Linked DNA regions of Caenorhabditis elegans. The protein of the gene in region 3 purifies or fractionates together with the protein of the main gene of each other region. This does not show direct contact. Each region holds a gene or a part of one and is shown on either strand. Other genes may lie near its edges.

Evidence for each region.
Region 1: the proteins of gtbp-1 (region 3) and ppw-2 fractionate together in Caenorhabditis elegans (co-fractionation; one large-scale study listed by BioGRID). This does not show direct contact.
Region 2: the proteins of gtbp-1 (region 3) and Y54F10AR.1 fractionate together in Caenorhabditis elegans (co-fractionation; one large-scale study listed by BioGRID). This does not show direct contact.

Annotation. Positions count from the first base shown.
Region 1 is NC_003279.8:5,160,288-5,164,041, reverse strand, and holds the start of ppw-2 (Piwi domain-containing protein), read left to right. Parts: upstream 1-1,809; 5' UTR 1,810-1,837; coding exon 1,838-2,026; intron 2,027-2,072; coding exon 2,073-2,263; intron 2,264-2,311; coding exon 2,312-2,480; intron 2,481-2,524; coding exon 2,525-2,930; intron 2,931-2,974; coding exon 2,975-3,698; intron 3,699-3,746; coding exon 3,747-3,754. Other genes in the region: let-630 (Small ribosomal subunit protein mS39), read left to right, coding at 1-782, 831-959, 1,012-1,344.
Region 2 is NC_003281.10:2,574,026-2,577,779, reverse strand, and holds the start of Y54F10AR.1 (Phosphatidylinositol transfer protein N-terminal domain-containing protein), read left to right. Parts: upstream 1-2,094; coding exon 2,095-2,111; intron 2,112-2,523; coding exon 2,524-2,718; intron 2,719-2,776; coding exon 2,777-3,094; intron 3,095-3,152; coding exon 3,153-3,273; intron 3,274-3,754.
Region 3 is NC_003282.8:10,126,778-10,130,531, forward strand, and holds the start of gtbp-1 (Ras GTPase-activating protein-binding protein gtbp-1), read right to left. Parts: upstream 2,180-3,754; 5' UTR 2,169-2,179; coding exon 2,066-2,168; intron 1,976-2,065; coding exon 1,851-1,975; intron 1,799-1,850; coding exon 1,736-1,798; intron 1,692-1,735; coding exon 1,163-1,691; intron 1,108-1,162; coding exon 865-1,107; intron 818-864; coding exon 459-817; 3' UTR 1-458. Other genes in the region: K08F4.3 (Translocon-associated protein subunit beta), read left to right, coding at 2,617-2,670, 2,723-2,827, 2,922-3,156, 3,203-3,357; Putative sodium-dependent excitatory amino acid transporter glt-3, read left to right, coding at 3,619-3,713.

The DNA.
Region 1 (3,754 bases), on a different chromosome or scaffold from region 3:
AAGCGTTCAATGGATTAATTGGCGCTTCAAGCTACAGTGTCGGGAAGAAATTGGTAGCTGAAATGATTTCCCTCAGAATGACACCCGATATTTTCACGTTCAATGCATTACTGTCGTCTGCTGCAAAAGCTGGAAAGTTTGAAGATCGTGTGAAGGCGTTCACTGAAATTATTGGAGAAATGAAAGAGATTGGAGTTGAACCAGCACTGTCATCTTTTCATTTAATTATCAAAAACATCATAGATTTTAAATTATTGGATAATGAAAAACGAGAGAGTGACGAGCAAAAGAAGACCTATAATCACCAGCTCACCGTGGCTATATCTTGGCTCAATGAAATTCAGAATAGCCTTACTGGAAAAACTCTCAAGCCGATTACATCCACTTGTAATCTTTTCTTCGTCGAAGCAATGGGAATCCATTACAGAGCTGCAAATGAGAACCTCGCAGAAAATCTTGTTTCAATTTATGAATCCAAAGCAAACGAAGTAAAGATGCCAGCATTCACAATTGAATCAATGTTCTATAATAGACAATTACAATTGGCTGTGGAACAAAGTGCTTCACTGAACAGAATTTATGATTTGTACACCACCATGGTACCACGACTTGTTGGAGTCAACAATTATCTGTCATCACTAGTTTTTCGAAAACTCGCTGCATCCTCCGATCGTCATTGGCCACTGTTACGGAGAGTAATCATCGACGGTATTGCAGCTGGACAGATGAATGGAGTTATTGGAGAAGAAATGCGCAAACAGTTGTGTAATGTACAACTACATGTAAGTTTTATTTCCAAATATCTTGTGTTTTTTACAAGTTTTTTTCAGACATTGGGAACTAGTGAACGGGAGCAATTCACATCTCTTGTCCAAAAATTGGTTGCAGTTTGGGTTGAGTTCAGCCAATTCACAGAAGAGAGAATGAGAAGGCTCCAAAGGAAACTGTCGCCTAGCCAGGTTTTAATATTATTTTTCAAACCATAAGTCGTATATTTCTCAAATTTTGCAGATCTCAGAATGTGCTTTGCTCTTGACCAGAATCGGAGAACAGCAGAAAGCTTACGAACTGTTAGATCTACTGCTTGATGAAACTGCAAGCAGTGGGGACGAAGCGACTGTTTATCCACGTGGACATGCTAGGCCATGGGCAATGGCAGAATTGTTCGAAGATGCTCTTAGAAAACGTGATACATATGCTGCAGCGACTTGCCTGCAAATTATGTCGTTGACCGCCAACCGTGCAAAACTTGAGCCTCTCGCCAATCGCATTTTCGAGAAATGTAATGTGAATCAAGAGCAAGTTCGAATTATTCAAGGATTCATTCGTCTTCGCCCACAATAATTTTATTTCGTTTAGCCTAGGATAGTTGTAAAGTTATTTTGTTTTTGTTTTGTTTTGCTTTCAAAATGTCTCCCATAATAAAACTTATTTAAAAATTTGTTCAACATGTTTTTTTTTCAAAGGTCGTTCAATTTGAAATTAAAGGCGCATCGAGTTTTCATCTGAGTGGGTCTCGCAACGCTGTCTAAGGTATACGGTAGCTATTCGCACTACTTCAAAAAATGTTACCTACTGTCCCAAAATATTCATTTCCGTGCACGATTTTTCAGTATTTCTTGTTGAAATCTTCATATTTTTCAAGTATCTAACAAAAACGTGTTTCAATAGTTCTTTTTTCAAGTTATAAGTTATAAGATTTAGAGAATGCATGTATCCCGAAAAGTTGCATAAACTTATTCAATTTTTTTCCAACACGTTATTCGTAAATTTTAAGATATTGTTCATAATGCAATCGTTCTCCGATTTCAGGTAGTATTCACTAACAACATTCACAATGCCTGCTACACCGGTTCCACCGGTAACAATGCCACCAGTGCCACCAGTTGGTTTTCCACCGGTCACCGCTCCGCCAGGACTTCATCCACCACCACCAGTCCCACCGGTTCCGGTTCCGACTCTTCCTGTCACCTCGGAACACAAAACTGCTCACGATGCGTGTATTAAGCGACTCGAACAGCTTGAGGTGAGATCGGTTCTCGTTATTGCTTAGAATAAATATGATATTTTAGATTCCGCCGGATCCGAAGATCTATCCTTCTCCAACCGAACCTGGAACTTTCGGTAGCGTGACTGAAGTCCTGACAAATGTGTTTGGAGTCGAAGTACATAAAACTTCCAACTTTTATCAATACAGTGTGCACATCACTGCTGAACTTTCATCGAAGAAAGAAGTAACTTTCACTAAAAAAGGAAAAGAAGAGTAAGATATTGATGATCGAATTCAAATTTCCTATGCATTCAATTTCAGCTTCATTGTTCATGACCGCCATGAGAAGTGCAGTGCTATTCTGTTCCACGCATTGAACCGCTTTGAGGACTTTTTCAAGTCGTCTGAGAACTGCATCATCTACGATGGACAGAGCATTCTCTTCACCAGCATGAATCTTTTTGAAGGAATTCCAACTGGAAAAATTAAGGTATCGAGATTTTATTTGTACTTTCGATGCATTCCTAATTTCAGACAAAAGTGTTTCAAATTAACGGTGCGGACACCAACTTGAAAGACCTAATGGTGCTGCCGTGTATCAAACTGGAAGTTTTTCCTACCAAGAACCCAGTCGTGAATTTCTCCCTGGAAGATATTGGAAGACGTACATCGGATTCTAACATCGAGTCTGTCAATATGGCTTATAAGCAGATTCTCGATCTCGCTATGAGTCAGTACGCAATTCGCGAAACCTCCAAATGTGTAGTGTTCGAGCACGGAAAGATGTTTTTCATTAATCCATTGCAAGAAGGGTACGCTCCATGCGACATTGTGGAAGTTGGAGATGGGAAACAAATGAAACCGGGTCTCAAGAAAACCCTCCAATTCATTGAGGGTCCATACGGACGTAACCAGAATAACCCATCGATTGTCATTGACGGTTAGTTTTTAGCTCAAAATAGACAAGTATATTTCAATCTTCAGGAATGAAGGTGGCATTCCATATGGAGCAACTCGTTTTCCAAAAATTGTCATCGATCACATCCAATCTGGCTAACGGAATCACTGGATCCGAAAGAGAACGATGTGCAGCTGTCATCAAAGGACTTGACTGTCATTCAAACTATAGAGGACGCACACGTCATCACAAAATTGAAAGCATTCATCACGAAGGAGCCGCAACTGCCAGATTCGAGCTCGAAGGTGGTGGTACTTGTACCGTTGCCACCTACTTCAAGGATAAATATAAGATTCAACTTCGCTATCCGAACGCCAATCTCATCGTTTGTAAGGAAAGAGGAGCTCTCAACTTCTATCCCATGGAGTTGATTACTATCAGTCCAAATCAACGTGTTAGAATCACTCAGCAAACAAGTTCTCAAAGTCAACGAACCACAAAAGAAAGTGCAGTGTTGCCAGACATTCGCCAACGTTTGATCATGACGGGAAAGATTGCAGCGAAGATCACAGCTGAAAACGAGGTGCTCGGTAAAATGGGAGTGACTGTTTGCGATGAGCCTCTTGTGGTGAAAGGGCGAAACCTCCCGGCCATTAGGTTGGCTTCATTTGAAACGGGTGAACATCTCATCAATCCAAGAGATTGCAAATGGCGCCCACAACGCTACAACCGTTCAGCTGTGGCTCCGAAAGTATGGGCGTTGTACGGCGTGGGGTCGCCGGGATCACAAATGAATCGCGACGTTATGAGGTTAGTCTTACTCTACTTAAAATTGATTGGTTTTTTCTGATTTTTCAGACGTTTTT
Region 2 (3,754 bases), on a different chromosome or scaffold from region 3:
CCATCACGGTTTGATCTACAAAAAATGCGGGATTTTTTTGCCCAAAAATATGTGACGTCAGCACGTTCCTAACCATACGAAATCAGTTGAGAACTCTGCGTCTCAATTCCTGCATTTTGATTTTTTTTTTCCATTTCTTTACCGATTCACGTGGTGTCAAAGTGCCTTCTTTCGGCATGATCTACATAGATCTACAAAAAATGCGGGAGAAGAGACGCAGAGTTCTCAACTGATTTCGCATGGTTAACAACGTGATGACGTCACATTTTTTTTGGCAAAAAATTCCCGCATTTTTTGTAGATCAAACCGTAATGGGACAGCCTGGCACCACTTGAACCCAGCTTTTTTCGATTTTTTTTTGAATTTTAATTATTTAATAGGGGAAAGTCAAAAAAATCGATTTCATATTGTTTCCGCAAGTCGAAATTTGATTTATGTGTATCTGCCCCAAACTTGTCGCTCATTTCCATGGTGATTCTCGCGCCAGCTTCACACTTTTTCAGATTTTCCATTGAAAATGTCATCCGTCACTTGTTTTTCCAACCCATTTCGCTCCTCTCCATAGTCGTTACTTTTTACTTTATATAGCCTCTCTCTCTCAACTTGACAGCGCACACGCTACTCCACAAACATGACATATTTAGTTTCTGCTCCAGCTCTTTTTTCTCCTCCGTTTTCCCCCCGTCCCGGGTGTTATCGATTTTTCGCCGCGCCGCCCTCTTTTTTTTGGGGAAGGCCATTTTTAATACTATTTTCCATCTTTTTTCCGTCTTCCTTCTTCCAAAAACGTTAAAAGAAAGGAAAAAAAAACGAATATTTCTTCCTCTTTTTCTTCCAAGAAAGGCTCGAACCCTGCTGTTAATCGAGAAGAGAGTATACGAAGTCACCGAGAGGAATGCTTGCGCATTTCGCGTGCCTAGTGAGTCGGCAAGTGAGACAGAAACACAGAAAGCATTCGATTTTCTCCTCGTTGCTGCGCTTATTGCTTCATCTATTTCGTCTGTCTTTTTTTTTTCTTTTTTCCGCTTTGTTTTTATGTTTTTTGCGGGTGTATGGACCTTAACACGTCATTTTTTGCAGTTTTTGCACTGAAAATTGGTCGGAAAATCGTTAAAACCTTCTGAAAACTCATTTTAAATTCAATAAAATTAAATATTCATCACACTTTTGTAGATCGTCGCGAGACCCGAGCCAATTCAAAGACCATGCACCTTTAAAAACCATTTCAAGATTTTTCGTGTATTATGCTCGCTTTTCTCTCGGAATTCCAATCGGAAATTAAAAATAATCTTAATTTTCACTTCGAAATCAAGTTTTCAATATTAAATCGTTAGAATTTCATTTAAAACCACCTAGAAATAGCTTAAATTTGTTTAAAAGTTTAAAAACTTGAAAATTAATTACAATTTCTGTAGATCGCTGCGAGACCCGAGTCTCTTCAAACTATATGCGCCTTCGATTACTGCCCTTCTCAAATTCGTTTTTTTCGCTTTTCCCACGGAAAATTGAGTGATTTTTCCATTTTTCCCTCAAGAAATTTCAAAATGAGAAAAATTTCGCAACACCTCTCTCTCTCTCTCTATTCATGATGACTAATAATTCTACGATTTCGCATTGTTTGGGAGAATTTTGTATTTTTCATGAGAGACGCCGTTAAAATTTCCAATTCCGATTTAATATTGTCATTTTCTATTTAAAAACGTTAGAAAATATATTAAATATTGGTAAAATCAACTTAATTTTACTAAAAAACTTTAAAAAATTCAAAAATTTATCAAACTTTTGTAGTTCGCTGCGAGACCCATCGGCAATTGGAACTCCGTGCGCCTTTAACTTTTCGATCAATTTTTTATTTTTAAATCCAAAAATTTTCAATTTCCCGCTAAAAATCGTTAAAATCTTTGTGAATTTCCTTCAAATTACGAAATTTCGCAATAATTTTCTTCTTTTTCTCGAATACCTTCCAAAATGCAAAAATAAAATCGATTTTCGCATGCTCTCCACCCATTAATCTTCCGTAAAGCTGTTTCCATGGCAACTAGCATAAAAAATTTAGTTTTCAGGTGGTTTCCTCCTCATTCGACACTCGCAAGAATGATTATCAAGGAGTAGTAAGTGATTTTTTTATTTTTAACGAAAATTTTGATTTTTCCTGGAAAAAATCGGTTTTTTTCCAGATTTTCCAACAAAAAAAAATCGGATTTCTCCATTCTTTTCCCAAAAAAATCGGATTTTTTCAAGATTTTTCCCGGAAGAATCGGATTTTTTCCAGATTTTTTCAAAAAAATCGTATTTTTCCAGATTTTTCCATTAAAATCGGATTTGTTCCAGATTTTTCCATTAAAATCGGATTTGTTCCAGATTTTTCCATTAAAATCGGATTTGTTCCAGATTTTTTCCATTCTTTTCCCAAAACAATCGGATTTTTTCCAGATTTTTTCAAAAAAAAAATCGTATTTTTCCAGATTTTCCCAAAAAAATTGGATTTTTTCCAGATTTTCAAAAAAAAAAATTTTTTTTCAGCCGAGTTGTGCTTCCAATGTCCGTCGAAGAGTACCAAGTAGGCCAGCTCTGGTCTGTGGCCGAGGCCTCAAAAGCCGAAACGGGTGGCGGTGAAGGTGTGGAAGTGCTCAAAAATGAGCCATTTGACAATGTTCCACTGCTCAATGGACAATTCACGAAAGGACAATATACTCATAAGATTTATCATCTTCAATCGTAGGATTTTCTTCTTTAATTCTGCGAAAAAAATTGGAAAAAAAATCAATTTTTTCAGGAAAGTCCCGGCAATTTTGCGAAAAATCGCGCCAAAAGGTTCTCTGGCTATCCACGAAGAAGCATGGAATGCCTATCCGTACTGTAAGACGGTTGTCACGAATCCAGACTATATGAAAGAGAATTTCTATGTGAAAATTGAGACAATCCACTTGCCGGACAACGGAACGACCGAAAATGCGCACGGTTTGAAGGGCGATGAGCTGGCGAAACGAGAAGTTGTCAATATTAATATTGCAAATGATCACGAGTATTTGAATTCCGGAGATTTGCATCCAGACTCCACTCCATCCAAATTTCAGAGCACAAAAACCGGGCGGTACGGGAAAAACCTTGAGATTTTTCAGTTTTTAAATTAAAAAAATCTGAAATTTCAGCGGTCCTTTATCTGGAAATTGGAAGGATAGTGTACAGCCTGTAATGTGTGCCTACAAGCTTGTTACAGTCTATTTCAAGTGGTTTGGATTCCAGAAAATTGTCGAAAACTACGCGCATACGGTGAGATTACGAGAGGATTTCGTGGATCGACAAAATGGGCGAAAATGCTCAAAAAACGAGCTTTTTTTTGTTTGAAATTTGTAGAATAACCCTATGTCGATTTACGCAGATCGTGTACTCCCCGAGGAGAAGAATTTCAAAGTTTAAAACTGAAATTTTCGATTTTCGTGGTTTTTTCATACTCAAATTGACAATTTATAGGGTTCTTAGGTGAAAATCAACAATTTTCACTTAAAATCTGATAAATGTAAATAAAATTAAATAAATAAAATCTGATAAATAAAGTTTTCACCTAAAAACCTAACAAACTGCCAATTTGAATGTGAAAAAACCGCGAAAATTGCCAAAAAGTCAAAAGGAAAACCTAGAAAACCTCTAATTTAAGTGGAAGAGGTTTTACACAGCCATTCTTCAATTTTCGAGCAAAATTTCGAACAATTCCGGAAAAAAACTGAAAACCGAGCTGAAAAAATGGAAAAAT
Region 3 (3,754 bases):
CAACGTGCCAAAATGGGGGTAAGAACTTGAGTACAAAGAGTACTCCCGAACACCAATGAAGGAAACAATAACGGGGGCTTGTAAAAGGAGAAGGAAAGTGGTAATATATTAAAACAACATTCAAATACAACTTGGATATTCGGTGGTGGGATGATGTCTGATTGCAACTTGTACTCGAAAAGAGTAAACTCAGATGGGATCACGGTCGTCAATCACCGAAAACCGGGGAGATAGGATGTGAAAATGGGATGCGGGCTGATTGGATTGGATTGTTGAGAGATCTACTAAAACGCTACACGCCATAAAATTCAGATACCAGAATCTTCTTACTTAAATCATCATTATTAGAACGGTGAGGAAGGAAAGGAGAAACAATAAATAGGAAAATGAGAAGGATAGGTACAGAATCTAATGGATGTGCAATTCTTACAAGAAGGAAAAAGGAGAACGGAAAGCTTCTAATTTTGTCCCGCATTTTGGAAACCGCTGCGCATACCACCTCGTGGAGCACCACCCGAACCGCCACGGCGGAAGAATTGTCCACCGCGTGGTTGGAAACCTCCACGTCCTCCTCGGAATCCGCCGCCTTGTGGTTGATCACGTTGCTCACTAATTTGAGCATGTCCGTCAAATCCGAATGCATCCAGTTTGAGTGGAAGCTTCCACACGCCTTGCTCATCCTTTGTAGCCGCTTCGAAAATGGCTTTTACTCCGGCCTTGTTACGCATGGTAATAAATGCAAAGGCATGTTTCGATGTGTCGTTCGGACTGTCAAGAACCTTGCGCGGCATGCGAACCTCCTCGATTTCTCCATATTCTTAAAATGAAAATTTAGTGAACTATTGGGACTATTAATTTGCTTACTGTAGAACACCTGCTTGATTTCCGATTCAGCCTGAGCTGTGTTGCTGGGGACAATCTCTCGAGTGATTCCTCCCAAATAGATCTTACGCTCATTTAGGTTGGCATCTGAACTTTCCTGAGCTTGGCGCAATTCATTAGCTGGGTGCGACTGTCTCTGTTGCTGATAAAGAGGAGCATGCGATCCTTGTTGTTGCTGATGCATGGAAGGCTGCATGTGGTGCATTTGTGTTTGCTGATGGATTTCTGAAAAATAAATAATCTGAGACTAGCCCGATCATCTTTCGTTTTTTCAACTCACGCTGTCCTTGTCCATAACTTTGTTGTTGTGGGGGCTGAGACTTTCCACCTCCACCCACAAGATTAGCCCACGTTTTCTGAACCTTTGGCTGTTCTTGAACAGGCTCAGGAACTGGGGCTCTCTGCTGTGGGGGCTGTTGGGCAAGCTGTGGTTTCTGCGGTGTTTTCGCTACCTCCTTTTCCACAGATTTCGGAGTGTCTTGCTTCACTATACGATCTTCAGCTTTCTTTGGCGTTTGCTGCTTTGGAGGAGCCGGCTTTGATTGTTCCTTAGGTTGCTCGGTTTTGGAAGATTTGGAATCCTTTCCATTTGCTCCACTGGCGTGTCCGTTATGACCAGTCGACGAAGTAGTCTTCTCCTTTTCCGTATTCGCGACGAAAAACTTATCAATGTACTGAAAAGCGTCTGATTCGACATAGTATTTTTTCTGCCCTTGTTGCCCAAGCAAAAATGATTGAAGGAATGGACGGAGGTTAACGGTTCCGATAACATTGATAATCACTCCCTGTTTGTGTGGGGTTGGGTATCCCTTAAAAATATATTTGTAGGAAAATCGAAGAACGTCGTGTTTACCTTGATAGATTGAATCTTGAAGTGGGTGGTTTCTGGTAGATGATTGTACAACTTAACAATCTCCTAAAAATATATTAACGAAATGTATTTTTGTCAATTTATATTTGTTGCCAACCTGCGATCCAGTGACCACCTGATCATCCAAATAGAACTTCGATTCATGTCCATAGAACTTGGTAATCGCTTTACGGTTCTCAGAGACGGTGATATAGAACTGATGGCAGAACGCTCCACCGACTTCTGAAATAAAATCAATTTAATGCAATATTCGGGATTGAAAGAATTGAAAGAAAAGGTGTGTAAGCACTTATTAAGTGCGACATGACTCACGTTCAGCGGCTGTCAATGAGAGTGGCTCGACCGGAGCGGTGGAAGTCAAATTACCATTGATCGGATCCATCTTATTCTGGGTTAAGGCCGAGGTTATCTGCATTTAATAATTACCTGAAAATGTTTATTTTTGTTTATAATTTTAAAAACGGTTTATGTAAAAGATGACGAAAAAATAATTTAACCGCTGCTTGCTTCATGATATCAAGTTTAACTATTTTGGAGGAAACTAGTTGTAAAACGGATAAATTGAACCGGAAAACTGAAAACGAACGTAAATCCGAACGCGCGAAATTCGAAAGAGGCGTTTTTTGGCAACGGGCCAGTTTGATTCGCAGGCACGCTCGTTTGAATTTAGTGATGGGTCTCGGCACGATTGCCATTTTGCGAGGCAGTTCAAATACACTTTTCTCTGCATCCTCCGTTTGTAGTACAGTCTTTTGTTTCTTCTCGGTTTTCCACGTATTTCCAGCTTAATTTGCCAACAAGGCGTTTATTGAGAGAACTTCCTACAGATTTATCAAATCATTATTGTCAGTGAAGCGCCTAGCATGCAACTGGTTTTCCTGATTCTCTCTGCTCTTGCAGCTGCTGATGCTTCTGCGGTAACTTTATCAAATAAAATTTATAAATCTGGCTAAAATCGTATAATTACAGAAAATTCTTATCGGCAAATCCTTCGTGACCAAGTATCCGGTTGCACAAAGAGAAAACGCATTTGAATATCAGATTATCAACATTGGCCTTTCTCCAGCTCTCAAGGTATGTTTCAAAAAGTCGCAAAGATTTTCTTTAAAAATTAGTTTCTTTCTTTCGGATAACGCGAATTTTGGTTAGAAATTGTCGATTATTTCAGGTCGAGCTGTCTGATCTCAAATCTTTCCCAACTGACCGATTCGAGATTTTGAAAGGATCTGCAACAGCAAGTTTTCCCGTCATTCCTGCGAATTCCACCATCTACCATCACATTGTTGTCATTCCTCGTGTTCCTCAAGCCATCGAAGATCACGATGTTACCGTGAACTATACTGATTCCGAGACTGGCAAACGTGCGCGAACCTCTACAGTCTCGTATGATAAGAGAGGATACAGTATGTTTTGAAAACAACGGAACTAATTCAAAATTTTAAACTTAAGCTCATTTCTTCGCCGAAACTGCCATGAGAAAAGTGGAAGGAGTCAATTGCACACACTTCCTCGGATTCGGAGCCATCGCTTTTCCATTGACTGCAATCCCAGCAATTCTCTACTGGATCTCCAAACGTCGTTATTCAAACAAAAAACAGGATTAGCTTTCGAATCGTTGTTTAATTTTACTGGTTATCAATCTATGGGTACACATATAAGTCAGCTTTAAATTGTATTTATTAGCACCCGGTTGAAGAATAAAATATTGTAGTTTTTCGACAATTTTATTTTCCACATTTCAATGTCAACTGCGTCAGCCGAATGCAAATTTCAGACGGCACTAGAATAGTTTGCATAATCCCTCTCTTCTCGTTAGTTGAACGAAGCGAGTCGGCAGTCGAGTTGTCAAGAACAACACAGACAAGATGGGCATGAAGAAGGATCTTCTTCTTGTGCTTACCATCGAATCTGTCGTGCTCGGTGTTGTCTTGGGCTTCGTTATTCGACCTTTCAATCCCAGGTGAGAAGATCTTTAAAATCTTTCGGGTCTAAATTGTAAAT